Pelodiscus sinensis: one gene and its partners. The protein of the gene in region 1 binds, or shares a complex with, the protein of each later gene. Links are inferred from orthologs where the notes say so. Each region holds a gene or a part of one and is shown in the gene's direction. Other genes may lie near its edges. The genes, in order: DRC4, DRC8, DRC7 and DRC10.

Evidence for each region.
Region 2: DRC4 (region 1) and DRC8 share a complex: the UniProt entries of both Homo sapiens proteins name them as parts of the nexin-dynein regulatory complex. The link is inferred for Pelodiscus sinensis from reciprocal best matches to the Homo sapiens genes DRC4 and DRC8.
Region 3: DRC4 (region 1) and DRC7 share a complex: the UniProt entries of both Homo sapiens proteins name them as parts of the nexin-dynein regulatory complex. The link is inferred for Pelodiscus sinensis from reciprocal best matches to the Homo sapiens genes DRC4 and DRC7.
Region 4: DRC4 (region 1) and DRC10 share a complex: the UniProt entries of both Homo sapiens proteins name them as parts of the nexin-dynein regulatory complex. The link is inferred for Pelodiscus sinensis from reciprocal best matches to the Homo sapiens genes DRC4 and DRC10.

The regions. Positions count from the first base shown.
Region 1 is NC_134722.1:2,206,872-2,214,835, reverse strand, and holds the start of DRC4 (dynein regulatory complex subunit 4), read left to right. Parts: upstream 1-4,959; 5' UTR 4,960-5,029; coding exon 5,030-5,032; intron 5,033-7,911; coding exon 7,912-7,964. Other genes in the region: DBNDD1 (dysbindin domain-containing protein 1), read right to left, coding at 213-243. UniProt on the Homo sapiens protein: Component of the nexin-dynein regulatory complex (N-DRC), a key regulator of ciliary/flagellar motility which maintains the alignment and integrity of the distal axoneme and regulates microtubule sliding in motile axonemes.
Region 2 is NC_134713.1:132,586,587-132,594,460, forward strand, and holds the start of DRC8 (dynein regulatory complex protein 8), read left to right. Parts: upstream 1-4,868; 5' UTR 4,869-5,005; coding exon 5,006-5,036; intron 5,037-5,141; exon of another isoform or gene 5,142-5,306; intron 5,307-7,874. UniProt on the Homo sapiens protein: Component of the nexin-dynein regulatory complex (N-DRC), a key regulator of ciliary/flagellar motility which maintains the alignment and integrity of the distal axoneme and regulates microtubule sliding in motile axonemes.
Region 3 is NC_134722.1:45,650,894-45,657,750, forward strand, and holds the start of DRC7 (dynein regulatory complex subunit 7), read left to right. Parts: upstream 1-3,853; 5' UTR 3,854-4,272; intron 4,273-4,367; exon of another isoform or gene 4,368-4,513; intron 4,514-6,857. Other genes in the region: uromodulin-like, read right to left, coding at 285-452, 1,035-1,101, 2,397-2,441. UniProt on the Homo sapiens protein: Component of the nexin-dynein regulatory complex (N-DRC) a key regulator of ciliary/flagellar motility which maintains the alignment and integrity of the distal axoneme and regulates microtubule sliding in motile axonemes.
Region 4 is NC_134725.1:14,337,159-14,345,119, forward strand, and holds the start of DRC10 (dynein regulatory complex protein 10), read left to right. Parts: upstream 1-4,946; 5' UTR 4,947-5,280; intron 5,281-5,299; exon of another isoform or gene 5,300-5,357; intron 5,358-5,409; exon of another isoform or gene 5,410-5,738; intron 5,739-5,878; 5' UTR 5,879-6,021; coding exon 6,022-6,735; intron 6,736-7,961. Other genes in the region: TPCN1 (two pore channel protein 1), read right to left, coding at 3,393-3,501. UniProt on the Homo sapiens protein: Component of the nexin-dynein regulatory complex (N-DRC), a key regulator of ciliary/flagellar motility which maintains the alignment and integrity of the distal axoneme and regulates microtubule sliding in motile axonemes.

The DNA.
Region 1 (7,964 bases):
CCGCTGCAGGGCCGGGCTCCGGGACCGGGGGCGGCTCCCTGCGGCGCTGCACCTGCCCGGGCCGCGGGTCCCTCCCGTCGCCGGTGATGGGCGCGGGGCGAACCAGTCCGGGCGCGCCCAGCAGCAGCCGGGGGCCGAAGGAGGCGCCGGGGCGGGGGGCGCTGCCCCAACTTTCCCTGGGGCGGGGGCCCCAGCCGGGAGCCGCCACCTACCTGCGGTCCCCGCTCCGCCGGGAGCCTCCATCCGGCCGGGAGCCCGGGCGGCGTCAGGCCGAGCCTCCGCGTCCCCGCAGCGCTGCGCCCGCGCCGGCCCGCATGGCCCCGCCGAGCCCCGCTGCCCAGCCGGCGCTGCAGCGCCACTCAGCCCGCCGCGGAGCGGGGCGGGGCCGCAGCGGGGGGCGGCAGCGGGCGGGGGAGCGGCGAGGACAGGTGCAGCGGGCGCCTTTCTCCCCCTCCCCGCGGCTGGCTCCCCCCGCTCTGCGCTGCTGACAGCCGGGCCGGGCTCTACCTTGGCCGTGGAGAGGCGGGGGAGTCCGCACTTCCAGGGGTGAAGGACGCGCCGGTGGGGTCCATACGGCCCCCCAATGCCCCTTCTTGCTCCCACCTCCCCACAGGGGGGGCTGATGGTAATGGGAGAGCCCCCCCCCCCACGCCCTCTGGTTTGGTGTGGTCCTGGGGCAGGGGCTGCTGCCCCACAGAAAAATCAGTCGGGGGCCCACAGAAGGGAGACACAAAACAAAACCTCACTGAGGGGGCCCCGACTGAGGAGACAGACTCCCCCCTCATTCCCCCGGGGGGGGCACAGGCTAGGAGATTGTGTGCTCCAGCCTGTCCAGGAGGTGGGGGGCTGGAGCACCAGCCTGGGATCCCCAATGCTGCGGGGGGCTGGGCCTTGAGTCAGCAGACTCCTTTGCCGGCTCACAATGCGGAGTCTGGAGCCCCTGGTGCAGCGGGGGCCACGTGTGTTCACCCATCCCCAGCAGGGATGTTACATTTGAGTTAATTGAATAGTCGAGTAACCTCATAAATTCTGATCGGTTACTTGACTATTCTATAGTCCCCGGGGGCGGGCCGGCAGCCAGTTCACTCCAGCCCCACTCCCGAGGAGCCCCCTGCCACTCTGCACTGCTGCCCCTCTCAGAGACAGCAGCGTGGGGTTCCAGGTGGGAGCTGGTCCGCGAGGGGAGCCAGTTTAAAAACCAGCTCCCTTCATGGACCAACTGCCTGCTGCTCCACGCTGCTGCCTCTGATACAGAGGCAGCAGCATGGGGTGGCAGCAGCCCCTGCCTGGGGTGGGGGTCTGAGCGCCCAGACATGGTGCGAGCCAGAACTGAAGCAGGCTGCCAGCCCGCCTGGCTCCTAACATGCTTTAAATGCAGAGCTGCCATAGGGGGAGGTCCTGGACCTGGCACAAACCAGGACTGAGCTGGGCTGCTGGGCAGCCTGCTAAAAAACTACACTATTATATCCCTAATCCCCAGCAGGACCAAATATGCAAGGGTGGGCCCCGTTGCTGGGGACAGGGCCCTGCAGAACAGGGTGGCGGGTGGGACCTGGGAGGGCTAGTGGCTGTGGCTCCAAGGGGAAAGGATCGGGGTGATGTGACATGGAGCCCCGAGCAAAGGAAGATGCTGTTGCTGCATACAGGCTCCGGAGCCAGCAGCAGGGTCGTGGCAGGCAGGGTGCCCGGGCGGCACAGACCGGTGCCTACTGAGGAGAGGTCGGTAGGAGGGGAGGGAGGAGTGCCCGGAAGGGAGCTTAGGCTGAGCAGTGGGGGGGGGGCTGTTTCTGAGGCCCAGTCCACACCTCAAAATCAGATCAACTTAGCCCCGCGGCCCAGGGTGTGAACAGGCATGTGCTCTGTGCGATGGTTAGGCCGGCCTGACCCACCCCCAGGGAGGTGCCGCTAGGCCTGCAGGAAGCAGGGTTCTGCTGAAAACCTGCCTGCGGTGGGCAGATTAACTGCCCTGACAGAAAGCCCCCTTCGGGTGACATCCGAAGCACCCCAGCAACAGCAGCACAGCTGTACTGGAGTCGCCAGCTGTGTCATCTGTCCAGCCAAGCCCCTCGCCAGAAGGGCCCGCCGAGCCGTCTGGGGAAGCAAGGGAAAGCAGATTGCACCTGGCTTGCTCACCGGCTGGGGGGCTCAGGGGTCCCTAACGGGCATGCCTCCATCAGTGGTCCCCATGGAGCTTTGCTGGGGTGGAGACTAGGGCATCAGAGACAGCAGAGCTGCTGGGGCCCTGGGTGTAGACCTTGCTGGCCCCGCTATTGCATGAGCCTCAGTGATGCCATCCCATGAGCTCTGATTAGTAAATCTGTGACGCAGTGTCAGTACCTTGCTGGTCACTATGCTTGGGCTGTGGGTGACCCCTAGTGGCCAGTGTCCGGAGCACTGCCCAGCAGGTGGGCTGCCTAAGACCTGACCGGTCTGACCGGTTGAGGGCACCAAGGGAACTAGGAAGTGAGGGTTGAGGGAAGGGTCAGTCTGGGGCTGGAATCATGAAGGAACCAGTCTAAGAAGGGGGTTGGAATCTAGGGGCCCTGAGACCCCATCTTAAGGGGGCTGAGGCATCCTGGCCCAGACTCCTGTAGACACATCGCATCTGTGCTGTTTCCGGGAGAAGCAATAAACCCCTCTCTATTCTACCGGCTGGTGGGTCTGTTCTTGCTGCTATGGGACTGCAGGATCGGAGGAACCCCAACACGTCCTCACATAATCCAAGCACCTGGGAAGCTCCCAGGCGGGGCAGCCTTTCACATCCACCACCTCCACTCATATCCCCCACGGGTACACTGCCCTGGCTGGGATGAGCCGTGCATTTGCTGGATGTGCTCTGTCCCCTGCTCTCTGATGGGCTAGATCTCCGGGGTTCCTGGCCTGTGAGTCCCATTCATGCTTGCCATTCCAAGGCGTCCCATTGTGTCCCCCAAGTCCATCCCTCATACACACCCTGCCAGGAGCAGCACCTCCTGCTGGCTGCCAAGAAGAGACCTCTCTGGAGCTGCCAAGTCAACGTGACAGGCGCTGGGTGCAGGGGGGGATCAGGGCAGGTCACTGAGTAGGAATTTAGGCCACATTGGTCAAACCCAGGTGCCTATGCTCCAGTCATAATTAAACTGCAATGTATTCCATGAGGGCACCGAAGTCTGGGAGGTCTCCCTCTCCGCAGGGCTCAGCACAGGCGGGAGGGGGAACTTGGTACCATGCAGACCCCAGCCCTGGTATTTGAACATTCTTGCTGTGCAGCCCTTCCTGGGAAATTAGTGCGAGTTGCCATCTATTGTGGAGCTCCCTGGTGCTGGTTTTCCCTGCTCTGTTCTTACTGTCCTTGATCTAGGCCGAGAGGCAGGAAAATCCTGTGCATCTACTATAAGAACTCTATGGTGTATAAAGCACCCACAGGGCATAGCTGCCTCATCTCAGGATCCCTGAATCCGCATCAGAGATGCCTCCCACTCGGTCCTTCCTGGGAGAGAATCTTGCACGGTTGTCTTGGGATGCCCATCTTAGGGAGGCAAATCCCAAAACTCAAAGGGCTTTGAAGCAACAGCATTAATTGCATCTGGAAACTCACTGAAAGCCTGCTGTAGAGTGCTCTCTGTGTGAAACCTTGCTAGGCAAGAAGGCAGCTGCATATGCTGAGGGTCATGGCTGGCAATGTTCCCTCTAATTTTTTCCATCCATGTGTGAAATAAATTTTATGTGCATTGAGCCATATGCAGATGTGCACCATCAATGCTGCCAGCCATGGAAGGTTGTGGGTGCTTTGCTAATCAGCCAGAAGGCATTTTAATCTCTTCTGGGTGGCTGCCCAAGTGCTCAGCTTACAAGGAACACTAATGGACAGCTTTTGGGTGTAGTGCCACACAAAAGTGCATGCTGCCTCTCCCTGCACTGAGACCAGGATCCCCTGAATCGGGTGAAGGTTACACCAGAAAGATGCCTGTGCACTGGCATCTTGGGTTGTTATGTGTTCGCACCATGATCTCCAGACCCACACTGTTCCCTTTTGAAGTCAAGAGGAAGTCAATTAACTGCAAACTCCCCCTGGGACCTGACAATCCAGCTGTTCCATTCACCTCTGCCTCCCCCGACTGAGGAGTCTGCTGTTAGATCATCCTGGCCTGATGGCTCACTGCACAGTGCAGGCTGGACTCCAGCTGCTTCTCCCATGGCTGTGATGCACCTGAGTAGATGCTTATAGCCTTAATATGCCTCACGGACATCTGGGGAGCAGATCTGGGAACTTGGTATAGGCCCCTAGCTAGAGTGAAGCCCTAAGAGACCCAGTGAGTCCACAGGGCCCGGAGTTTGGAGGGCCCTCGGCCTGTCCCCCTAACATGTACAAAGGCTGAGTGATTTTCCTGATCAGTCCCATCCTCAGCATCTGTGCATCTTTGTGGTGCTCCGGGGAGCAGAGGGGCACAGCTGGCAAGAGCCAAGGAAGCCCTGGGCCTCACACACAGCTTGCTGTGCACGGTGAGTGGGGGGATACTGCAGCGCAGCAGGGGACGGGGGGCACACCAGGCAGGCCACAGCTGGAGCGCCCTGCTCCACGGAAGCTGTGGCTGGCGCTCGGAGCATGGCAGCCTGGGGGTGTGTGGCCAGGGGCAAAGCACACGAGTGGATGCCGAGAAGACTCGGGCTTGGCCAACGTGCCGGGTGCAAGGCTGACGGGCCACGGGGCCTTCCCCTCCCCCTGGAGCCGGGGAGCCGGGCACCAGCGTCCCCCGTGAGCGGGGCCGCCCCAGCTGGGCCGCTGCTCCTGGCGCTGCCCATGCGCACGTGGAGCGACGTGTTCCGCACGCGGCCGGGAGGGGGCAGACGGGCTGCACCGCGGGACGCCCGGGCAGGGGCGGAGCCAGGGGTGGGCGGGGCCAGCGGCCCAGCGGCGCTCAGGGCCTAGAGTAGCGCTGCCGGCGGTTGCCAGGGCGGTGACGCGCGTTGCTATGGGCAGGAGCTCTCGCGAGACTTGCCCGGCGGTTGCCAAGAGACGCGGTGACTCTGAGCCCGCGCCCCAGCAGCCATGGTGAGGGCTGGGGGGTCGGGGGGGCCCGGGGGCAGCAGGAGGGGGGGGGTCGGGGGGGCCCGGGGGCAGCAGGAGGAGGGGTTCGGGGGGGGTCGGGGGGGCCCGGGGGCAGCAGGAGGAGGGGTTCGGGGGGGGTCGGAGGGGCCCGGGGGCAGCAGGAGGAGGGGTTCGGGGGGGGTCGGGGGGGCCCGGGGGCAGCAGGAGGAGGGGTTCGGGGGGGGTCGGAGGGGCCCGGGGGCAGCGGGAGGAGGGGTTCGGGGGGGGTCGGGGGGGCCCGGGGGCAGCGGGAGGAGGGGTTCGGGGGGGTCGGGGGGGCCCGGGGGCAGCAGGAGGAGGGGTTCGGGGGGGGTCGGGGGGGCCCGGGGGCAGCGGGAGGAGGGGTTCGGGGGGGGTCGGGGGGGCCCGGGGGCAGCGGGAGGAGGGGTTCGGGGGGGTCGGGGGGCCCGGGGGCAGCGGGAGGAGGGGTTCGGGGGGGGTCGGGGGGGCCCGGGGGCAGCAGGAGGAGGGGTTCGGGGGGGTCGGGGGGGCCCGGGGGCAGCAGGAGGAGGGGTTCGGGGGGGGTCGGAGGGGCCCGGGGGCAGCGGGAGGAGGGGTTCGGGGGGGGTCGGAGGGGCCCGGGGGCAGCGGGAGGAGGGGTTCGGGGGGGGTCGGAGGGGCCCGGGGGCAGCGGGAGGAGGGGTTCGGGGGGGGTCGGGGGGGCCCGGGGGCAGCGGGAGGAGGGGTTCGGGGGGGGTCGGAGGGGCCCGGGGGCAGCGGGAGGAGGGGTTCGGGGGGGGTCGGAGGGGCCCGGGGGCAGCGGGAGGAGGGGTTCGGGGGGGGTCGGGGGGGCCCGGGGGCAGCAGGAGGAGGGGTTCGGGGGGGGTCGGGGGGGCCCGGGGGCAGCAGGAGGAGGGGTTCGGGGGGGTCGGGGGGGCCCGGGGGCAGCAGGAGGAGGGGTTCGGGGGGGGTCGGAGGGGCCCGGGGGCAGCGGGAGGAGGGGTTCGGGGGGGGTCGGAGGGGCCCGGGGGCAGCGGGAGGAGGGGTTCGGGGGGGGTCGGGGGGGCCCGGGGGCAGCGGGAGGAGGGGTTCGGGGGGGGTCGGAGGGGCCCGGGGGCAGCGGGAGGAGGGGTTCGGGGGGGGTCGGAGGGGCCCGGGGGCAGCGGGAGGAGGGGTTCGGGGGGGGTCGGGGGGGCCCGGGGGCAGCGGGAGGAGGGGTTCGGGGGGGGTCGGAGGGGCCCGGGGGCAGCGGGAGGAGGGGTTCGGGGGGGGTCGGAGGGGCCCGGGGGCAGCGGGAGGAGGGGTTCGGGGGGGGTCGGGGGGGCCCGGGGGCAGCAGGAGGAGGGGTTCGGGGGGGGTCGGGGGGGCCCGGGGGCAGCAGGAGGAGGGGTTCGGGGGGGTCGGGGGGGCCCGGGGGCAGCAGGAGGAGGGGTTCGGGGGGGGTCGGAGGGGCCCGGGGGCAGCGGGAGGAGGGGTTCGGGGGGGGTCGGAGGGGCCCGGGGGCAGCGGGAGGAGGGGTTCGGGGGGGGTCGGGGGGGCCCGGGGGCAGCGGGAGGAGGGGTTCGGGGGGGGTCGGAGGGGCCCGGGGGCAGCGGGAGGAGGGGTTCGGGGGGGGTCGGAGGGGCCCGGGGGCAGCGGGAGGAGGGGTTCGGGGGGGGTCGGGGGGGCCCGGGGGCAGCGGGAGGAGGGGTTCGGGGGGGTCGGAGGGGCCCGGGAGCAGCAGGAGGAGGGGGTCGGGGGGGGGTCGGAGTGGCCCGGGGGCAGCAGGAGGAGGGGTTCGGTGGGGTCGGAGGGGCCCGGGGGCAGCGGGAGGGGGGATTCGGGGGGGGGTCGGAGGGGCTCGGGAGCAGCAGGAGGAGGGGGTCGGGGGGGGGTCGGAGTGGCCCGGGGGCAGCAGGAGGAGGGGTTCGGGGGGGTCGGAGTGGCCCGGGGGCAGCGGGAGGGGGGATTCGGGGGGGGTCGGAGTGGCCCGGGGGCAGCGGGAGGAGGGGTTCGGGGGGGGTCGGAGGGGCCCGGGGGCAGCAGGAGGAGGGGTTCGGGGGGGTCGGAGGGGCCCGGGGGCAGCGGGAGGGGGGATTCGGGGGGGTCAGAGGGGCCCGGGGGCAGCAGGAGGAGGGGTTCGGGGGGGGGTCGGAGGGGCCCGGGGGCAGCAGGAGGAGGGGTTCGGGGGGGGTCGGAGTGGCCCGGGGGCAGCGGGAGGAGGAGTTCAGGGGGGTCGGAAGGGCCCGGGGGCAGCGGGAGGAGGGGTTTGGGGGGGGTCGGAGGGGCCCGGGGGCAGCGGGAGGAGGGGTTCGGGGGGGTCGGAGGGGCCCGGGGGCAGCGGGAGGAGGGGTTCGGGGGGGGTCGGAGGGGCCCGGGGGCAGCGGGAGGAGGGGTTCGGGGGGGGGTCGGAGGGGCCCGGGGGCAGAGGGAGGAGGGGTTCGGGGGGGTCGGAAGGGCCCGGGGGCAGCGGGAGGAGGGGTTCGGGGGGGGTCGGAGTGGCCCGGGGGCAGCAGGAGGAGGGGTTCGGGGGGGGTCGGAGTGGCCCGGGGGCAGCAGGAGGAGGGGGTCGGGGGGGTCGAAGGGGCCTGGGGGCAGCAGGAGGAGGGGCACGTGCCCGCACATGCATGCCCCTAAGCCCCCCAGTGCTCAGGCTGCTCCATAAGGCTCATTCTCCCGAGGGCAGCTTGTGAGCCAGGAGCCCCAGTGCAGCGCTGGTGGAATGGCTTTGGTGTGGAGATTCTTGCACCTTTACAGACCCTCCTGCACTCTGGAAGCTGCTCAACGGGCACTGGTGCCAGGATCCCCCCTGTGCCATCTCATTGATACAAATTGCATTCATGCCCAGCAGCAGCCAGGTGGCAGTGGCACCTCCGCAGGTCTGAGCTAAGCCCCCCGTCACATGTTTTCTTTTCTTTTCTAAGGCGCCCAAACAGAAAGGTGGTAAGAAAGCCAAGGCTGCAGCGGTGGTGGATGC
Region 2 (7,874 bases), on another chromosome or scaffold:
GACCCAACTTTGAAAACCCACATCTTAGAGAGCACAGAGACAATGGATGCCTCATGACTCAGCAAAGCATTAGAACATGTGATTTATGACTCCATATTTAGCCAGTATTTTTCAAGGCACCTCGACTGGGAGTATAAATTAGAGACTGTGACATCATCTCTGTGCCTCATTCCTGCCTTTCATCTCTGGGCTGAGATTTCTAACAAAGGCAGCTTGACCACTGTATTGTGCCTGAGGAGTTTATACTTGCTACTTAGCTGGGGGGAAATCTATGTATAGAACACACAACAAGTTAGGGGTTTGTGCCTGCTTCTTAACAGTCTGCCTTGCATTTGTATTGTTGCTTGTGAGCCACTCCAAACAGAGCCACAAATGGAGAATATTATCAAGTTGTGCAATCAATTAAGGAAGCTAAGAGAGAACAAAAGAAGATGGATGAAACTGCAAGACAGCAATATTCCCATGACATGAGGAATAGATGCACTGATTAAAGTGGCAAAAGAAAATTGGCTTGAACAACAGTACATTTATATACACAATTCTTTGCAGTAAATGCTACTAGGAAAGCTTAACAAATCATCAAAATTCCTTGAAAGGGTTCCCTCACAGGAAAAATACCATTTCACTCAACACTTGGGTAGGTGTCACCAATAACTGTATAATATGAGCAAAACAAACTCTAAGTTGGAAATGAAAGAAGCAGAGTGGATCTGCCTGAAAAGCTTGATTTTCCTGATGAACTTTTCCCCTACTATCTACAAAAGTAGAAGATGTGGTGTGGACTTTGAAAAACAATAAGGTCTCTACAGTGGATAACACACAAGCAAAGTGGTAGAGAGGCACTCATCTGGGCATACCATAAGCTTGTCAATGTGATTTGGGAGTCTGAAGGATGGCCCCAAATTTGGACACAATCACTGATGTTTTCTATTCCTAAAAAGGGGGACCCAATTATTATTGACACACCTGAGCAAAATATTATTGCACATGATCCTGAAGAGAGTTGCACCCAATAATTTTCTCACTGAAAAACAAGCTGGGTTTGGACCTGGAGCAAATGTTTAGCCTGTCTGTGCTATATGTGAAAGTGATGGAGAATGTTGGCAAGGTGGTCCATACCTCTGTGAATTTTGCTAGGGCATTTGACAGCATAGAACACAACCACTTCAGGCAATCTTATGTTTCAGTGAAGTCGGTGAAAAAATAATAAGGTGGATACAATATCTCTATGAAAATGCAATGGCTTCAGTATTTGTGGGGCATGAGCAAAGTAGTTGGTTTGATTAGTGTCCGAGGGGTTGCATGATATTACAGACATCTTCAAGAAGTTTTAAGAAAACCCCTCTGTGGATGAAAAATTAGTCATCTGTGCTTCACTGATGGTATTCAGCTGATGGGATCATTGTAAGAAAAGGTGCAAAAACGGCTAAAAAGAGTAAGGTCAAAAGATATTACATACACACACACACAAAACCAAACAAGGACAATGGTGAAATCTAAGTCCACTGAAAAGGCAAAGATATTCCTATCCAAATCTGCAACTTCTATTTGAAGAGCATTGAGCACTTCAAACACGTAGGTAGTATGACTAGAAGGGATGGTAAACATCACTTAGAAATCTGACATGAAGCTGGAATCACAATTGTTGCTCTAGCAACACTCAGCCACATTTGGAGAAGCAAAGGAATTACCATGAAGTGTAAAATTAAATTGCTGCAGTATCTTGTCCTCAGCATCTTGCTACATGCTTGTGAGAAATTGATGCTTAGGCTGTCTACATTACTCCTTTTGTTGGTAACTTATGTTGCTCAGGGTTGTGAAAACACCACAATTGGAGCAACATAAGTTACATCAACAGAATTGCTGGTGTGGACAGTGCTATGTCAGCAGGAGAGTGTCTCCTGCCAATATACCTACCATTGCTTACTGGCGGGGGGCAGGGAGTGTTAGTTATCTCTACAGAAGAGCTGTATCCCATTGAAACAGAGCAGCTACATGAGAGACCTTGCAACAGCACAGCTGCCTCAGCGCATCTGTGCCACTGTAAGCTCTGGTGTAGACATTGCCGTAGGAAACAGGGCACTGAAGGCAGGAAGTCTCTTAAATTGAAAAGACACAAGCAATTGCTGCACATTAGTTATCCCTTATACCTGATTAATGAGGAGGTACTTGCCCAAATTTACAGCAGGACTGGAATGATACCTGATATTATCAAGATGATCAAAGAAAATTTGAGTTTGCAAGACATTTGGGAGAGCTGAGCTGAGCAAGACTCCTGAAGCAAGTTTGTAGAGATTGGTGCCAACTTCAGGGAGGTGCTCATGGCTAAGATGGTTCAATGATGTTGTGGCTAATTAGATGGGATGCCATATGGCACTCTTCTCAAGGCTATGTGAAGACCATGAAATGTGGAGGGAGATTATTGGCCAAAGACTGTCATTTGTTGTGTTTACTTTTCATTATGATGTGACTCTGGTGCTTTGCATTAAGGAAGATAATGTGTGTAGTATTTAGAGTAGCTTTGCTCAAATGTTACTAATCCACTAAACCATTCAAGAGCATGAGATGATGTTTCACTAAGCTAATTGTCTGTTGTATTAGGGCTCTTATTATGCCCATTTTTTATTCTACATTATGTTTTAATAAATGACAAAGGCAAAATAACTGATTGCAAGGGGTATCATGGTGTGGTCATTTAAAAAAATAACTTATATTACAGTATTACAAAAATATAATTTGTTTTAGGAAGCAAAGAGCTCTGGTTCTGTTCAATTTTATAGGTGAACTGGTTGTAAGTTTCTATTATTTTGCATGATCTCTGAGCACAACATAACTATGTTTGTTGTGGGAAAAATAATCATCACCCCTTCTTTGCTGCACTTCAACATTAGAAAAAGCAGCTGCTTAGGGCAAGGACAAGGGTCTAGTTCTAGGACTTTTATAATCAATGTTCTTGCTGTGAAATCCTAAATGAATACTATGGTTGTTATCTGAGTGAATCCTTAACTTAAACATTAATATCCCTAAATAATTTTTTCTCATTTAAGAAAATAGCACTCTGAAATAACTGAGGCACCACTTTTCAATGCAGCTTGATTGTATTCTTGTGTTTATATTTTGTATTTTTTAACTTTCAGAGTTGATTTTGAGTTTGAAAAGCCACGAACTGCATGCATGTGTAAATTCTCAGCCAAAATTTTAATCTGGATTTTCCCTCAATGTCAGGGGATATAAAGAAAACTTTAGCTATGTCGGTTTTTCTTTATTTAAGCATAACATGTCTTTTAATTTTTCAGTGCATAGATGGAGAGTCCTTTCACTGCTGCCATGTGCCATTTTAAAAAGCCTGATTCTGTGAAAGGGCAAGATTGTATAATTCACAGCATCACATTATTTATTTGAGGGAGACTACCCCAAAAGGAAACACTTTTAAACAGGAGGAGGCTTTTTGATAGAAAACGAATATATTAGGGACTTATGCTGAAAATAGCATGAAGGGAGGTTGCTTACTACTGAAATCAATAGGACTCTGTGGCAATAATAACTATTTTTCATAATGCTTGCAGGACCAGGACCATGGACTTTTCTTCTTCAGTGGTGCCAATTCTGCTTTGAAATCAGACAATTTCTAAAGAGTGAATGACTGTTAACATATTTTTTTTCAATATAGTGATGGCAATAACAGTGTAATACTAAACATAAAAAACAAAAATTCCACAACTAGATTAAATATTTGGGAGTAGCCAGCAATTTGAAACTTTTACACAGAAGTGTGCTGACTTCTATACCCATTATCCACAGGCCTGTAATCTCCTGAAGAAGATAAAACATAATGGCCAGATTCCAACAAACCATCATTTTAAACTATTTTATTCATTTTTATATTGTTTGGTTGTAGTTGCAGTGTTTCTGTAGAATTAAGCATTGGGGCTAGGGCGAAAGACAGACAAAAGAGTTTATTTATTGTTGTTGAAATTAGTGGGAGCTGTGGTTTTCAGTGGTTACTAAGTTAAACCCAAAAGGGGATTCCTTCATTGGTGCTACATAGACATGGATATATATCCACTGCAACGTAAACTACAGCGGCCTATTTTTGCTTTGCAATGTACGTGGACTTTTAATTGAACTTCACAAGTGCGCTACAAACTTGTATGATAGACAGTGGATCACAACCTTTCCAGACTAAACCTTTATCCCCCTTTAGGAAGCTGATTTGTCTTGAGTACCCTGAAGTTGCATGTCACTTAAAAATGACTTGCTTATACAATCAGAGATAGAAATACAGAAGTGTTACAGCACACTACCACTGAAACATGGCTTACCTTTCAATTTCTACAGTATAAAGTAAATCAATTGAAACTATTGCACTTACATTTCAGGATGAGGTATATCAAACAGTTTCAACAAATCATTGTCTGAAATTTCATTTGCTATGGGCTGTGCAGGAATGTAGCCTGTTGTAAAACTAGCCAAGTCTCTAGATGAGTTGATGCATCTCCTGGAAGACCTCTACATACCCCCTGATTGAGAACCACTGAGTTAGGCAGGGAGCTGGACAATCACCTTAACAAGTCACTTCCCCTCTCTGGGCCTGCTCCCCCTGCAGCAAGGAGGGGCTGACCTCAGCCTAGGGGACCTGATAGCCACTGAACCATTGCAAGCCCTGATATGATGGAAAATTCTTCAAGTCGGGGCTGCAGCACCCTTAGCCCCAGCACCTCTGTCTTGCTGTGCAACGTCCCTACAAGGCTGGGGCTGGGCTCAGGAGTAAGCGGGGGTGGCTGGAGCAGGCTCCCTGCTGCCAGATAAAATACATCCCTGGAAGGGGAGGGGGAGGAGCGTCAGGGGCTCCCCCCCGCATGGGACAGGAGGCTGCAAACTCTGCGGGGAGAGCGAGAGTCCCGGGGGCCGGGCCGGGCTCAGCCGGAGCTGGGAGCGCGCGGGCGCGGCCAGGCCAGCAGCAGCCGCTGCCGCGTTGCCATGGTGACGGCGGCTGCGGGCCGCCATGGCGGAGGAGAAGGAGGGAGCCGCGGCGGGTAAGAAACCGCCGGGGCCGAGACCCGGCCCGGCAGCGGCTCAGCCCCCGCCCCGCCAAACCCCCGAGAGAAGGCGCCGGGCAGCAGCGCCCCTAGTCCCAGCACCTCTGTGTGGCCGCGCAGGGCCAGGAACCCCGGGCTGGGCTGGGCCCAGGAGGAAGTGACTGGAGCCTCCCCACCCTACGCCCTCTGCCGGGGCCCCTCGCGGGGCGATGCACCGGGACACGGGGAGAGGGTGAAGGGGGGGATGGACACGGGGACACGGGGAGAGGGTGAAGGGGGGGGGATGGACACGGGGAGAGGGTGAAGGGGGGGGATGGACACGGGGACACGGGGAGAGGGTGAAGGGGGGGATGGACACAGAGACACGGGGAGAGGGTGAAGGGGGGGATGGACACGGGGACACGGGGAGAGGGTGAAGGGGGGGATGGACACGGGGAGAGGGTGAAGGGGGGGGATGGACACGGGGACACGGGGAGAGGGTGAAGGGGGGGATGGACACGGGGACACGGGGAGAGGGTGAAGGGGGGATGGACACAGGGACACGGGGAGAGGGTGAAGGGGGGGATGGACACGGGGACACGGGGAGAGGGTGAAGGGGGGGATGGACACGGGGACACGGGGAGAGGGTGAAGGGGGGGGATGGACACGGGGACACGGGGAGAGGGTGAAGGGGGGGATGGACACGGGGACACGGGGAGAGGGTGAAGGGGGGATGGACACGGGGACACGGGGAGAGGGTGAAGGGGGGGATGGACACGGGGACACGGGGAGAGGGTGAAGGGGGGGGATGGACACGGGGACACGGGGAGAGGGTGAAGGGGGGGGGATGGACACGGGGACACGGGGAGAGGGTGTAGGGGGGGAGGTTGGACACGGGGACAGTAGGAGATGGTGTAGGGCAGGAAGACCAAAGATGTCTGGGTCAATTTATGGAAGGAACATTTTGGTAGGTTTGTTTCTTCACATTCTTTGCTGGGATTGAAGAGTGTTCCCGCCCCACCTTTTTGTCTGGCCCCTGTGCTTTTGTTTCCTTTCATGATGCCTCACACATAGTCATTACTTACTTCAGGGAGTTCACATCAGAGTCTAGAATGAAAAGGCAATATCAGCTCATGCCTCAATCAAGGAGAAACCAGCCCTTGTTTTTAGTCTCAATTTTTGGATTTATAGTCTTTCAGTTTGACATTGTAAATAAAAAACAATCCTTCCTTCTGCAGTGCTTTGTTAGTATAATAAAAGTCATATGCATCACCGTAGTTTGTAAAATGATTTAACAAACTATACACAGCACCATACATGATGAAAGTAATTCATCCACCACTGAAGTGTATTTGAGGGGAAGGGATTACTTTTGGCCCTTTACTCTAGGGCAAACCTTACAAAAAGTATCATGGGATTGTTAATGACTTTGGGGAGCAGACATTTGGTTTTACCACAGCAGAAATGCATTCACAGTAAGCTGTTTGCAACTCTATCTACCTTGGACAGCAAACAAACAAATTGATCCTCTTGGGATCTGACTTTGTGTTTCCAAAGGATCTAAGTAGTTGGAATCTAATGTTTTGACCAGTTAGCTGTTCCCTCTGCTTGTACAATTTATTATACTTCAGTTTCAAATATAGCTAGTCACCACTGCCAAGAAAAAGTAATCAGTGTGATATTAAATTAAGTGATAATGTTCATACTATTTCAATATAGAAGGCATTAACAGATGCTATGTTTAATGGACCACAAGTATGATTTATAACAAGAATATTCAAACATCATGAATGCTAACCTCATCATATCCCAAGATAAATCAGAAATACAATTTATTTGCTGCATTAGTCTCAATAGTTTTATGTATTTTAATCTTTAGTCCGCATTTTGCCCCCTACTAATAGTAGTTGTTATTCAAAATTTGCGAATTCTACATATTGTATTTGAAATAATCAAATTTCAGTAGCAAACAATGTAATGTTTGTTGTTAATTATGAAAAACGGTATAATCAATAGAGCAGTGCTACAGAAATATTTGCTGTTAATTGCTGTGATGAGGAATTGGAAATTATTGTTATATGTATGTCTAAGCAACCTATTACTATTAGATGTAGGCACCATGCATAAATTAAGAAATAACATCAACTTTCTTTCAGAATAAATAATTGATTTTTTTCCCTCTTTCCATTCAGTTATATGGGGCTAATAAATGAGTAGTTAGTTACATCTATATGGTTCATTTGGCCCTGTAGTTAGAGCCACTTCATGCATAAATCTTACGGGAATGCCTACCAAAAGGGAGAGGTCTTGCATCATGACCTGAAAGTGTAAGACTTGGTCTCATCCTGATTTCTGCTGGTAACAGATTCCACAGCTGAGAGCCTTCTATTTACTGATCATTCGCTGGCAAATTATCACTGGTTGTATCAGCCAGTGTTCCTGTAGAAAGAAGGTATTATGTGAATCGAAGAGGGCCTTTGAAGTAGGTTGGCCCTCACTTAAACACACAGGGCTTTAAAGATAAGGACTTTAATAATAACCAGAATTATCCAGAGTAGAGCACAGAGTATTGTGATGTACTTGCAGTGGTCTGCTTAGCAGACTAGCTGCTGCATGTTGTGGTATCTCTAGTTTGTGGGTAGACCTTTGTCTCAGGTAATTTGGTAGAGTGATTTGCAATAATCCAGTCTCAAAATAGTTACTGTGGCTACTTCCACATGTTGTAATGTAACAATACTTAGCTATTATGCATTAATTTTCATCTGTACTTAGGCCTTATCTACATGTACTAGGAGATCAGTGCTGTGGGGATCAGTTTCCTGGGAGGGTCAAGTTCATGGGTCTAGTAAAGACCCG
Region 3 (6,857 bases), about 43 Mb from region 1:
GCGAGGAAGAACGAGCTCTGAGCCTGTGGCCCACCTGCAAGACAGTCGCAGACCACCAGTAGTCCACACTGAGAACCACTGGTCCAAGGCAACACTTTTGGGTCACTTTCTTGCAGGGATACACTTTTCTGACAGCTCAACAAGTCCTGTCTGCATAATCCCACCAAGGAAGGGAAAGTCTCCTCCTGACACTTGTTTGAGCCCGTAAGTGGCGCGAGTCCCGCTCACGACCACTCGAATGGACACGTTCTCGCAGACCACGTGCAGCGTGGCCCCCGGCCTACCTTGACAGAACGCCCCGGTGAAGCCAGCGTTGCAGGTGCAGTTTGGTTTCCCCTCAACTACTTGGCAGACTCCCTGGTGCTTACAGGGGTTCGGGAAGCACAATCTCAGGCCTCTCTTGGGACGGAGGGCAGCCTCTCGCCTCGGGTCCTGCAGCTTCTTCAGATCGGCTAGAGCAGGAGGAACGTGTGGATGTTCGAGGTCATCGGGACTAAGCGGTTGTCACGGCACAAGCTACAGTTAACCTATCTAAGCTGGAGTCCATGTTCGGCTCGGTGGGGAGGGGATCTCGTTTGACACAGATGGGGATTCTCTAAGTCGCTGCTCACATCCCAGGAGAACCTTCCCACGGATGACGGAACCGCCTTGGGACACTCCATCCAAGACAACGCCTGTGCAGTGCCCATCGAGAGGGAACGCCCAGGAGTCCCGCGTTAGAGCTGAGCTCATTAGCAGCCGAAGCTCAGCATGGTGTGTGGCTGCCCTCCACTGTTACTGGAGATGCAGAACCTCCAGCTCTGGCTTGGCGGAGAAAGGGCTTCCCCTCAACAAGATACAGAGTTCCCACTGCTGCCACCAACGCTTTAGCAGAGCTATACGTTTTGGTGTCCTTCCACCCGCCCTCCTCCCTGCCAGCATTTCTGCTCTTGGGAGAAGCTACCAGTACTAGCCCTGCTCTGGGTAAGTAGCTTGAATGGGATTTCTTGTCCTCACTATTCAACCTACCCCTGTATCCCCCAGCATAGACTCACAATTGTCGCTCTCGCTGCCAGGCAGCCAGAGAGCAGAGAGAAGCAGCAGGCATGTCACAGTCACTTCCTGAAAAAACAAACACACACCAGCTTTTGTTTTGATTTCTAACATGCTCCTCTGTAGCCTCTGGAAACACAAGCAGCTGTTTAAAAGCCTCCCTGCAGCTGCAGAAGGGGCAGAGACGTTTAACCCGTCTAGAAAAGCAGGGGGGCGGGTCTATTGTTACTTCACCAATCACCTAAGACCTGAAGGGTCTGAACAGCAAAATCGTCTTCACCAGCTAGTGCAGGGCCAGATTTTCTCCAGCTTTATAGCAGCATAGCCAGTAGAGATACGCCACCACCAGCCTCTTCCCCAACTTAGAGAGCATGCAGACACAAATAAACCCAGACAAGTGACAAGAGGCCACTACTAACAGCGGAGCGCTTGCAATGAAATCCCACGGTCGGGGCTCCCGTGCACACAGACAGAAGGAGGGAAGAGTTGTGAGCGTCCCAAGGAAGTGGCAAATGTCAAGAGAAACAGCATCTTCCTGCGGGCCCTTTGCCCAGCGAGAGTGAGGATGTGGCTGTTAAGGGAACATACATTTACTCACAAACAGAAAAAGGAGGCAAATCAACCACCTCTCACCCTCCCAGCTGCCTATTTCAAGAGTGCAGCCGTTTGACACTGAAGGGGCCGCCGCATTGGCAAGCTTGTTAGAAGGCAGCGTGGGCTAGTGGATAGAACGCCAGTCTGACTCCACTGTCCTTAACACCAGGGACAATGCAGGTGTAAGCAGTTACCAGCCTGACCCAGGACTTTTTACACCTGCGTTGTTACTGGCTGCACAGCTAAGAGTCTGGAGAAGACTCTACTGTCATTGACTCAGTAGGAGACTTTGGACAGGTCACAGGCCTCACTTACCCCATCTGGGATATGGGAATATTATTAGAGCACAAGTTGATCAGTGAGGGCATACCACAGAGAAGCTCTATTATTAGCCCAGGAGTCCTACCCCACAGACGCAGGCCAAGTGCAATAAAAGCCAAAAGAGCTAGCAGGCAAGAGCCGCACTTGGATCAGACTTTCCCCGCTGCCTTGTGCCTTCTGCAGCCAAGCAGGCTGATGCAGCAGCATTTTGCACTCACTTTGCCTGAGGTTAAAGGACCGGACAAGGTGCAAGCAGCTGAGGAAACCAGGCCCTTTATTTAAAGGGAGAACAGGGGCTCATAAGAAGGCCTTTAGGAAGCCCTGCCAATGGCTTTCAGGAGGCAAGTAAACAGAGCTGCCCTCTTGCAAGCAACGATGAGGAAGCGAAATCCAGCAACAGCCACAAACAGATCCCTCCTCGCTCCTGAGATTTCATTTGCTCTACTCACCATTGCCAGACCAGCAGTGCCTTGCTCACCCACAGCTGTCCCCATTGCCTGCAGCCGCCTCAGGTGCCAGACTGTGGGGGTGCCACTAGTTCACGCTTTGTGAACAAGGCATTTTAAGTTGTTAGTTCTCCTTTACGGGGGTAGGGAGCAGAGCAGCCCCATGAGAGGAGGAGAACAGGAAGGAGGCAGAATTGAGACCTTTCAAAGTTTTGGCCCAAGTGAGGGGACATGGGGGCGTCATTTGAGCTCCCCGCCTCAGGTGCCAAAATGTTGTGGGCCGGCCCTGGCATCTGGGCCCATTTAGCGTCCTGCATCAGCTGCATTGAAGGAAGGAGCTTTTTCTGTTGGAGCACGAGCCATGAGCACTGGCACATTCGTGGCACTTGTGGCTCCCCGAGAGAGGAGTTTGCATTCTCCTCCCGCCCCACCCTTGTCTGTGAAAATAGCAGGTTTCCGTGGCTGGGGGGTGCTGCTCTGGACACAACAGTGAGACTAGGAAGCTTTTTCTTTCTTACACAGACAGAACTGGATTGCAAACCCTGTTCCCACACATGTGCCAGCCACACTCAGCTTAGGTATGAAAGGACGACTCTCTAGCCCAAAGCTCGAGTGCATGGTGGGAGGGAACCTTAAAGCTTCAGAAAATGGAGAGCAAAGAAAAGAGCCCAGTGTGGATTACTCTAAAAATTTAATTTTTTAAAGCAAGATCCTGATTCTTGCATCCTGGGCCCCGTTTGCTGCCCCCTGTCCCCCTCTCCCGTCCCTGATGCATCTACTAGTCCCGCCTGCCATGCCCATGTGGTTTAGAAGGACCCTGGTCCCCACCTGTATTGCAGGGCTAGGGTGGCTTCCAGCTGCTTGCTCTGCACAGCTGCTGGCACATCCCTGTCCCTGAGGCCCCAGAGGGGGTATCTCCGTGTGCTGCCCCTGCTCTGAGCGCCCCTGCAGTTGATGGGAAGCTGTGGGTGCAGTGCCTGTGGGCAGCAGCACACAGAGACCCCTCTTCAATCCCCCCAACCTAGGAGCTGCTACCAGAGAAGGTGCCCCAGGTAAGTGCTGCACCCCCACTCCTGCCTTCTGGGCCCCACCCTCTCCCAGAGCCTGCACCCCCATCCCACTCATCTACTCACCTCCCAACTCCCTCCTGCACCCCGTCCCCCCAAAATTCACTAGCCCCAAATTCACTCACAGAACCTGCACTCCTCACCTTCTCCCACACCCACCTTCTCTCCCAGAGCCTGCACCCCAAACCCAATCCCCTGCCCCAGCCCAGAGCCTGCACTAGTGATGTGAGCTTATCAATTAAGTTTGGTGGTGGCCAGCCACGCTGGGCCACAGCAGCCCTGGCCGCAGTGGGGCTGGCAGGACCCTGAGTGCGGCAGGACCCCAGAACCACAGTGGGCCACATGGCGAGAGCCCACGGTCGTAATGGGGCCAGCTATGGGACCCCACCACCTACAGGTTTGCTCCGGAGCGGGGGAGAGGTTCCTGACTGACAGTAAAACTGATCAGAGGCACAGGGGGAAATTGGCTGGACTCCTTTCTCGGTCCGCGGGAGATGTGGAAGGTGAACCGGTGCCCCCGCGGCGGAAAAACAACCATTCGGTCCCACGTGTGCCGAGACAGGGTCTGGTGCAGGCTCAGTCAGCGCAAACGGGGCCTGCCCCAAACCCGGCCTGGGCCCACGTGCACCCCGATGTCACATGTTCTCCCCATTTCTCCACCAGTGACGCAGAAAGGAAACCGGTCCTGCCTGAACGGCCAGTCCCAGCCCTAGTCTGGTCTCCGCGCGGGGAACCGCTCCCGACCGAGGAACTACAGCTCCCAGAAGCCTCGGCCCTTGGACGGCGGTTGCCATGGCGAGGGAGACTCACAGGTGGGAGAAGCCGGCGAGGCGGCTGTGTGCGGAGGCGGGGGGCGGGGGGTCCTCCGGAGGGGCTGTGCGTGTGTGTGACGGAGGGTGGCAAAGGCAGGGGTGGGGGTGAGGGGAACAGGGGCCTGTCCCGGAGCAAGGAGACACCGAGGGCAGGGTGCAGAAAAGGGGCATCCCCGGAAAAGCCCAGCGCCTGTGCCGTGTCCCCTGGGCAGAGCGGGGGGCTGCGGCAGAGCCCGAAGAGGTGGGGGGCTGCTCCCCTTCCAAGCCCACGTGTCTCCCCATAGGCACTCGGTGTCTGCAAGGGGAGGGCCACCCAGAGGACCCAGGACGGAGGGGGCAGGAGGGAGCACCCCATTTCGCAGTCACACTTTGGAGGGCTTGCGGGGAGGGCAGGACACGCCATCACCCGTGGCCTTGGTGTCTCAGGCAAGCGTGTTTTTAGAACCGAAAACCAGGCCGTTTTCCCAGATTATCCCAGCCGGGGAGGGAGGGCGGATTAGAAGGGGGGGGGGCAAGAAGGGAGGGGCTGGCACGGTGGGAGCATTTGGGAGCTGGAAAGCGAGGGGCAGGGGTTTGCTCCTGAGGAGGGGAAGGTTGGACTCCCTCTGGCCAGGGCCGGCCCACAACATTTTGGCACCTGAGGCAGGGAGCTCAAATGACACCCCCATGTTCCCCTCGCTTGGGCCAAAACTTTGAAAGGTCTCAATTCTGCCTCCTTCCTGTTCTCCTCCTCTCATGGGGCTGCTCTGCTCCCTACTTATGCACCAGCAGCAGACACAATTTTCTACACTCTGGGTCCTAGTGGCGCCCCCCACCCCAAAATCTGGCACCTGAGGCGGCCACCTCAGTGCGCCTCATGGTGAAGCCAGCCCTGCTTCCCGCTCCTCCACCGTGGCTGCTGCAGCAGACCTCAAGCAGCCAGACTTTCAAGGCAGAAGGAGCAAAGTGAACCATTTGCACAGGGCAGTGATTAAAGGAATTGGGCGGGGGAGCCATGCCTGGGAGAGGAGGGGAGCCCTGTTTGCTCTGAACAGAAAAGGGAGCGCGTGCCCTCCTCCGTGTCCCGGTGTAGCGCCTTGCACAGTCAGCCCTGGCGGAGGCTGCATCAGTACGACCGGTCAGTACAAACACTCAGAGGAAAGCGGGGTGGGGAGCAGACAGAGGAGAGTTTCATGCAGACGGCAGGAGAGTTTGACAAATCTTATAAAAGAGACCTACAGCCATGAGGTTGTCGATGGGACAAGTTGGTTTGTTCCTGCCGGATCCTCCACTCTGGCTGGCTGGCGCAGTGTAATCCAAAGCCCAGGACAGGGAGAACTCCAGCAAATGGCCCAGGTTGTGTCCAATGTGAAACCACTCCGTCCTCTCCACCCTTCGGGGGCATTTCTTCAATAAATGCCTTTCTCCGGCTGGCTTCCTTCCACATGCCATTCATGCTGCCAACCAAAACAGTGCCCGATAAAGAGACGGCTTGCGTCTCCATTTTCACTTCTTATCTCCCCAGCCTTCAAAACGCACAGTAGGATCAATTTAAGCTTAAAAAATCAAACCAAACACATACCAAAAAACCCCACAACAGGCCTTGGAGATATAGACTCATAGACTTTAAGGTCAGAAGGGACCATTATGATCATCTAGTCTGACCCCCTGCACAGTGCAGGCCACAAAATCTCACCCACCCCTCCTAGAATAATCCTCTCACCTATATCTCAGATATTGAAGCCTTCAAATACTTTGAAGACCCCAAGATGCAGAGAATCCTCCAGCTGTGATCTCTACCCCATGCTACAGAGGAAGGCGAAAAACCTTCATGGGGTACAGATCACAGCTGGAGGATTCTCTGCATCTTGGGGTCTTCAAAGTATATTTCTGCTGCCTGCTATTTATTGAAATGTTAAAAGTCTCCCCGTGTACACCCTGACCCGCCATGCGCTCTCTGCCCTCAACACAGCCTTATCCAATACTCCGTAGCGGGGTTCCACAACTCAAGGTCAGCACATCTGAAGTGGCTGAGAAGAACTACTTTTTCCCCAATGCACAACTAGCCACAAGATAACACCAAGGCCAATAGCGTAGCAGGATTTTTTTAAAAATGAAGTGGACATTGATAAGGGTAATGGGAACCTCCAGAGTAGTCGGAGTAAGGATTAAAATAATTAGGTCTTTTGGAAGGGATCTAAACCCTCATGCTTCATGGCACCAATCAGGTTCTAACTCCAAGGGGTCAGGAAGAAATTCCCCTATGGACAGGATATTCCATAACTGCTACTTCTTCCTATCCTTTTAAAACAGGGGTGGCGAATATAAGGCCCGGGGGCCAGATGCGGCCCCCGGCTTGCCTGGATCCGGCCCCTGAGGCTCAGGGCTCTCCCCCAGCATTGGGGAGCCCATGCTGATGCTCCAGTCCCCCCACTATTCTCCTAAGGGGCTGGAGCACACAAAATCTACTAGCCCGGGTCCCCCTAGGCTCTGGTATGCGAGGGGAATGTGGGAAGTGTCTTTCTGGTTCTCAGTCGAGGGCCACATCAGTGGGGGAGTTGTTTGTTTTGGGGGGGGGTTGTTTCTCACTTGTGTGTGGCCCCTGA
Region 4 (7,961 bases), on another chromosome or scaffold:
AGGGAGAATCCCAAACCTGAAACTTTTTTAGGGGACAAATCTGAGGAACTGTCCCAGATTGAGGTATCACGAGGGGAGATTTTGGAACAAACTGATAAACAGTATTAAGTCATCAGGAACAGATGGTATTCACCAAAGAGTTTTGAAAGAACTCAACTGTGAAAATTGCAAAACTACTAATGGTGGCTTATAACTGACCCTTTAATCTTCTGTATCAAGTGACTGGAGGATAACTAATGTGACGCCAGTTTTTAAAAAAAGTTTCTAGAGGTGATCCTGGAAGTTGTAGCTTGCAGCAGCATCCCCTGTGAGGCAGAAGTGTGGGAATGGGGGGAAGGGAGCAAGCAGTACCATGAAGACTGTGCTGCGGGGAGAGGGGACTGGCTTTAAGTCAGCTCCCACTCCCCCTTTTCCGCTCTTGTTGCCCTTCATACAGAAGCATCAAGGGGCGGAGGGAGAAATGTGAGCAGTCGAATACTCAACTATTTGCTTACATCCCTAATAAATAAACATAATTTGTTGGGGAAAGGTTAACATGCGTAACAAGGTTTCATGACTCATTAAATCTAATAGAATTCTTTGAGGTCAACAAGCATGTGGACAAGGGGGATCCAGTAGATATAGTGTACTTAGATTTGCAAGAAGTCTTTGACAAAGTCTCTCAAACGTCTTCAGAGGGAAGGCCCTCTCAAGGACTGATAACAGGTTAGGACAGGAAGCTAAAGATAGCAATAAATGGTCAGTTTTCACAATGGCGAATGGTAACTAGTGATTTCCTCCACAGGTCCATACTAGAGATGTAAACTCCCAGTTAATCAGTTATCATTTAAACGGGTTAACTGACTAAAGCGGGGTATCAATCCAGCGGGGCTGCTGGGAGCTCCCAGCAACCTACTGGAGCAGCACCCACCCACAGTGGGGTCAGGCTCCCTGCTGGGAGAGGCTGATCTGGAAGAAAGCAGCCCCTGTCAGTGGTTGGCCCCCTTGGGAACTGGCACAGCTCACTGCCCACTGCAGATGGGAAGATGCTCCTGGTCCCACTGGTTACCAGTTACCTAAACAGGTAATGCTTACCAGTTATGGTTAACCTTCCACAGCTCTAGTTTATATTAGGAAAAATCCTATTCAATATATTCATAAATGATCTGAGAGGGGGATACACATTGAGGTGGCAAAAGATTTGCCGATACTAAACAACTCAAAACAGTTAAGTCTAAAGGAGACTGAAGAGCTTCCAACGGATCTCACACAACAACAGATGAAATTTAATGTTGATAAATGCAAAGTAATGCATATTAGAAAACATAAACCCATCTATGTACAATCTAATGGGGATTAATTTAGCTGTTACCACTCAAGAGAGATCTTGGTGTCACTGTGGATCATTTGTGGAAGACATCCACGCCACGTGCAGCAGCAGTCAAAACAGCAAACTGAATGTTCGGAATCATTAAAAAGGCAGAGTGAATAAGACAATGAATATCTTATTGCCTCTATATTAATCCATGGTACTCCCACATCTTAGATTAAAAACTTTACTTAAGTCCACACTGCAATTGTGTTTTCAAAAAAAAAAAAAAAATTGGAATAGAGGGTTTTTTCTGATACTGGTCAACTTCTTTCTATAAGGACGAAACTTTTTTCCAAAAGAGCTCTTTCAGAAAAGAGCGTGTGTGGATGGGGAAGAGGGAGTCCTTTTGTAGGAAGAAGAGGAAAGAGGAAAAAAATCACAGGTGTCCTGGTGGCCACTCCACTCCATCCATAGTAATTACAGCTTAAATGCAAGAGAGCATCCATTCAGTGCGGATGCTATCTTTCAAAAAAGCAATGTGCTTTTCCTGAGTAGACACTCTCTTTCAGAAGAAGCTTTTTTGGAGGATCTCTTCCGGCCTCATGCCACTTCCCGCTTCATGGGAATGGAGATCCATGGCCAACGGAAGCTGCAATCACCCATACCTGTGGAAGCACAGTTAAATGTAGCAGTGATGGCCTGCTAGGATCCTGCCCTGGGGAACCATCTTCCAGCCTGTGGGCCAGTATTTGCCCATCCTTGTACAGTGTGCAGATTCAGCAATCAAGCTGTGCAGAGTCCAGCTGATTTCATCGGTGTCTGCACAGATACAGAAGCTCATGCACATACTACCAATAGCAAGAACGGAGCATGCATGGTTACTTTTAAAGTAAATTGTAAGTTAATTCAGGTCTACTCAACTTTGGAAGCCCAAGGGGCCACAATGATGCTCACAACACATGCGGAGGGCTGAAACTTATGTGGGGTTGCATATATATGCAAGTATATGTCAATAGCTTCTTTCACACTGACGGTCATGAATACAAAGATTAAACCTTAAGCTGGGTGCTGGACCTAAATGTGGCCAGTGTGAGCCAGTCAGCACTTCTCAGGCTCTGCCCACAAACCTAAGCAGTCAGCATTTCCCACAATGTCCCAGTGCTGTCAGCACCTCCTCCCGGAGAGGTAGAAATGCCATCACCCTGTACCCCCATCTGTTCCAGCCAGCCTGTCCGCTCATGACTTTCAGTGCTCACCCCACCTGGGAAATGCCTCGTGGTTGTGGAGTGTATTCCCAGTTAAGGTCATGTTCAAAGGATCCCATCTGTGGGCCATGTGTTGAGCCCCATGTAAACCTAAACTGCACCACAAGCCGCAAACAAATGGACCGCGGGCCGCATGTTAAGAAGTCCTGTTTATTTGATCCAAGCAAATAGGCAGAGGTAGCATTATCTCATTTCTATTTAAAAAATACACACCACAAATACTAGCACTTCTTCCCATATAAAAAAAAAATCTCAATTATCAGGGACGTAAATTTAAGATTGACAGACTGTGCAGAGCAGGAATGAAGCAAGATTACATAAGGGATCAATTTCTTGACTAGAACCAAAAGAGTAAAAAATAAATACAGCAGCTACAGACAGACAAGTTTATGTTCTAGGGGAAACATCCGATGACATGACTGCAAATACTGTGTGTTAGCCTGGTCCAATGGCATCACATGAGAACACACATAGCTCGGAGCACAGATATGGAAAAGAGAAACTTCAGCTTAGGGGCAAAAACTCCTCAATTTATTACCTGAGAGTATCAAAGGTTGCATGACACAGACTCATATAAAGGATCAAGTCATTTATTCCTTCACTACTCAAAACATTCATTAGAGTTATGAGAGTTTTGAGCAAATAAACAATTTCCAAATAGGTACTTGAGGTTATTCCTAAGACTGTGAATAATTATTGTGTAAGATTTCCATAAGAAGAATACAATGGAACTGCTGGGGGGAAAAACTGAAACCACAATTACAGCAGGTGACTGAAAATAAACTATGCTTCCCTCCCTCCGCCTCCCCCCCAAAAAACCTATCAAGTAGTCTTACTTTCATTAGGCAAGTCCTCTGAATCCAGCTCATTGACTGCTGAGGTGTTGCTTCCACTTTCATCCAAAGTGAGAATGAGGGGAACATCATCATCCATGCTTACAGCCATTGTATTTCCTTTCAGGTTTCTCTCCTAAGAATTTTAAATAATGTCTTTTGCAGTCCACCTTTCAAGAACACTTGGTCAAAAATATTCCTCAGAAAGTTCTCCATCAACCAGGTGCATCTTCTAGACGTAATATGCAGAAAAACATACCCATCTCCAGGGGTCTCAATACAAAAAAGAATCTACCAAGTTGTCTGCAAAGAATAGTTCAGAGAAGTAAATTCATTAGTAACATTAGTTTACAACCAACCCCTCACCATTTAAAAAATAAATAAACTTGATCCAACTTAGCCTCAACCACAATAGCTACACCACTCATGGTTTAATTTAGGACAGAAATAGTCCTGGGTACATTTCTCAATGTTTGTTAATAAAGAATAGGCAGAAGCCGCATCTCTCTCCACATATATTTTTCCTGAGGGACAACAAGGTGACACCACCACATCACTCTGCATCCCGCCACCCCTCAGCCGCACCTCCCCCCCGCCTGAGGGGTGCTGGAGTACCCCCAGAGAGGCAGGCGCAGGTCCCTAGCATACAGTTGGCTGATCTTAGCCTGAAGGCGAGAAGCGAAGCACCACTGGCTCACATGGCCTCAAACCCAGCACTATGGTTTCTCTTTCAAAGTGCCTGCCCTGGGGATAGATTTGGGGGGGGGGGAAGGAGCCTGCCCGGGGGGGCGGAGCGCGGGGGGGGGGAAAGGAGCCTGCCCGGGGGGGCGGAGCGCGGGGGGGGGGGAAAGGAGCCTGCCCGGGGGGGCGGAGCGCGGGGGGGGGGGGGGAAAGGAGCCTGCCCGGGGGGGGCGGAGCGCGGGGGGGGCGGGGGGGGGGAAGGAGCCTGCCCGGGGGGGCGGAGCGAGGGGGCGGGGGGGAAGGAGCCTGCCCGGGGGGGCGGAGCGCGGGGGCGGGGGGGGAGGAGCCTGCCCGGGGGGGCGGAGCGCGGGGGGGGGCGGGGGGGGGAAGGAGCCTGCCCGGGGGGGCGGAGCGCGGGGGGGGCGGGGGGGGAAAGGAGCCTGCCCGGGGGGCGGAGCGCGGGGGGGAGGAGCCTGCCCGGGGGGCGGAGCGCGGGGGCGGGGGGGAGGAGCCTCACACGAAACCCGCACTCCTGAGCCCTACGGATACCGGGGGGGCGCCAGTCAGGCCCCTCGCCCTGCGCGGGGAAGGCGGGGCAAGTCCCAGGGAGGCGGGGCCAGACAGCCGCCGGGCCAGGGCAAGGCCCCGGGACCCGCTCGCACCGGGGGGTTCAGCTTCGCTCTCTGCCCAGGAGGGTCGCAGGGACACGCACCGGCCCCGGCTGCTCCTCGTGCAGCGGCCCCGCCCCTCGGCACACTGTGCGCGTGGACTCTCCACTCCGCCCGCGCGACCCCCGCCGGCCGCACCAACAGCAGACCCGAACCCGCCGTCGCTGCAACAACTCGCCTCAGTCAGCCGTCGATTGTCCACACCCCGCCTATTGGCCGTCTCCCTCAGGACTCCGCCCCATGCCTGAGACCGACCAATCGGCCCTACTTCCGTTCTTTAGCAACAGCGGCTCATGGAAGGGGGGCATCCGGGTGTCTTTCATTCTGTCCTTCCATTGGACTCTGGTCTTGCCCATCAAAGGAAGGGCTAAATTTTCCGTTTCGGATTGGACAGAAGGCTCGAAGTCTCTGCCCTGACTCCGCCCTCCAACGGAGAAGGAAGGGGCTGGGCTAAACTTACCGAACAAGGGCGGCGATTGGCTATGGAGGGAGGGGGCAAATCAGTCAGGACCTATCCCCGCCTCCTTTGTTTGGGGTTAAAGGTGAGCGAGGGGTAACCTAGCAACAGAGACACGCTGGAAGAGGACCGGAAGGGAGGCGGCGGCGGTGGTGTGAGCAAGTGAAGAGAGTTGGGGGACCTCGCCCGCACCCCCGGCAGCCTCCTGCCCCCATGCCCACCCAGGGAGACCGGGGAGCTTGCTCCCCTATTCCCACGCTCAGGCCACCTCCCCCCCCCCCATCCTTACCAACCTGGCCACCTGCTCTGATAGACCAGCCCCTGTTCAACCCACCGCCACAGAGACCTAGGAGCCTCCAACGGGACTGAGCAACCAGCCCTCTTCCCCCCCAAAGCAGGGCATCCCTGCCCCATCTCAGTCTAGTCTCACAAGGGCTGGAGAGTTTTCCTTCCACTTTTCAGCATAGGAAACAAACAGCTCATTAGCTGTCTCAGGCACTGGAGGCTAACCACTAGAATTAGTTTCACCTCCAGCACAGGAGGGTGGGCTGTCATAGGCATAAGGACCCAATATTCTGAATGTGCTTTTAAACTTAGAGACAGACCCCATATAATTTTACATTCTCAATTTTGGCCAAGGTATATCATGATGCTAATGCTAAAATCAAACTTTTTTTTTTCAGGTAAATGTTGTGAAAGAAGAGCATGCAGCAAAACAGCAGGGGAATCTAAATCTACGTGTATTAAGATGTCCTCTGTGACTGTATTCATATAGAAGATTTTTGCTCCCTTTCATCTTAGAACTTTTAAATATTTGACTGAGAATATGGCAACAGAGGTGGCTATCGTGCTCCAGTTGCCATATGAGGCAACTGAATCAACCACCAGGCCCTCCATGGGATACAGTCAGACTCCAAGAAAGTCAGTGATGAAACCAAGTCCACTAAAGCTTTTGGATCCAGCTCGTTCAAAACTTACCACTGTTGAGACAAAGAGGATCATATCTGTTTTGGATGAGACCATCTTTAAGATAGAACTGATCAGTCTGATCTCTCACATTACTGAATGTGTGGGTGATTTAAGCACTATCCTGGGATCTGAGCTCATAGGTACCCTTAAGGAGCATGAGCGGCTTTCAAACAACATGGAAGCTTTACTTACCCAGCTTCAAAGAGAAGGTTTCCTGAAGCAGGATGATGGAAGAGGGGACCTTGTAGGAACTGACCGCCGTCTTCAATTGCATCAACAAGCTGTAAAAAGCTCTATAAGAAATATTCTGAGACTCTTTCAGGCTGACCCTATAGCTTCTCAAGCTGTGAAAGACGAGGCTTATGCTAGGGATTTATCATCTGAAATGTTTCTCAAAAGGTTGTCAGAATTCCGGGGTTTCTTATTTGAGAAACTCCTGACTAGTCCCTTAGAAGAACAAGAAAAGATTCAATTCATGGAAGAAATCTCCCTCCAGGAAAAGAAAAACAGTGAAACTATTGCAGCATTAGAGGCAGAACTTGCAATGGCAATCCAGAGTCGAGATGATGAGGTACAGTGGTGGTAAGACTAAACATTTCAAACTAGAGACCTAGGTCATTGTAGGAAAGGCCAGTAAACTAAACTATATTCTGTTTGTTGCCTCTCAAAGTGGAAGTCACTAAAATATTTCTTAATACACATTCTGAATTAGAAATAGTTATATCTACAATATAGTTGAGAGAATATGTCTGTCTATTTGTTCAAGAACTTTTCCAAAACAGAGTTAGGGCTACCAAATACAGTGTACAGCCTTCTCTTATCATAACGTAAAGCAGCGGTTCCCAACAGCCAGTCCACGGTGCTGGCTGCTGGGCTACAGCAGCTGCCAGAGCTGAAGCTGGCTGTTTGCAGAGGCTCAACTATCTCCAGCACCCATAGAGACTGATTTTTGCACTGTGACAGAAGTGGTAGCAGGAGCCTTCCTCCCGCTCCCACCCAGATAAGTTGGTGGCTTGGCCTCCCCCTCACCACCTGTGTGGCCGATCTTGCTGCTGGCTGCGGCACTGGGCTGAGACGGTGGCAGAAGGAAGCAAATAAAATGTTAACAGTCTGCCTAAAGTTTGTGAATGGGTTTGCTGGTCCACAGTATAAAAAAGATTGGGAACTACTGACTAAAAGCAAGGTAAGGGTTTGATTGTGCCAGGAAAATGGAATGTGCCTTCTCATAAAACCATATAGAAAAGAAACAGAATTACCAGGCAAGTGAAAGGGGTGAGCTGGGGATTTGCCCCCCATCTGGGACTTCCTCAGCGCCAAGCCACTTTCTCCCTTCCCCTCCAGGCCCTCTTTAGAGTGGGCTGAAGTCGTGCCTCCTTCCCCCAATTCATATGGGAACATTGCTGACTGTTCTTCTTTGTCAGGGAGCAAGGGGAAAGTGCAGTTTGCTGCAATCCTCAATCTGGCTGGGGACTGTAGGGGGCACAAATCAGGACTTGTCTCAGCCTGGGAACATGTACCCCTCCCCAGGTTGTACCTGGTGGAGCCGCAGCAGCTATGGGGAGGTGCTTTTCACCTGGCCCCAAGCTGCTCTGATGCATACTGAACCCCTCATCCTCACGCCCTCTCCAATGCATGCTTTAAATGAAGCATTTTCATTTTATTTTCCAAAAACAAAAAATAATGAAGTTAAGGGCCCAAACAGTACTGGGTAAATCTAATTCTAAAAACAGTTAAAATGAATCCCTGCATATTTAGATTCAGGCACTCAAACATAGTTCTCCATCTTCAATGGCCAGC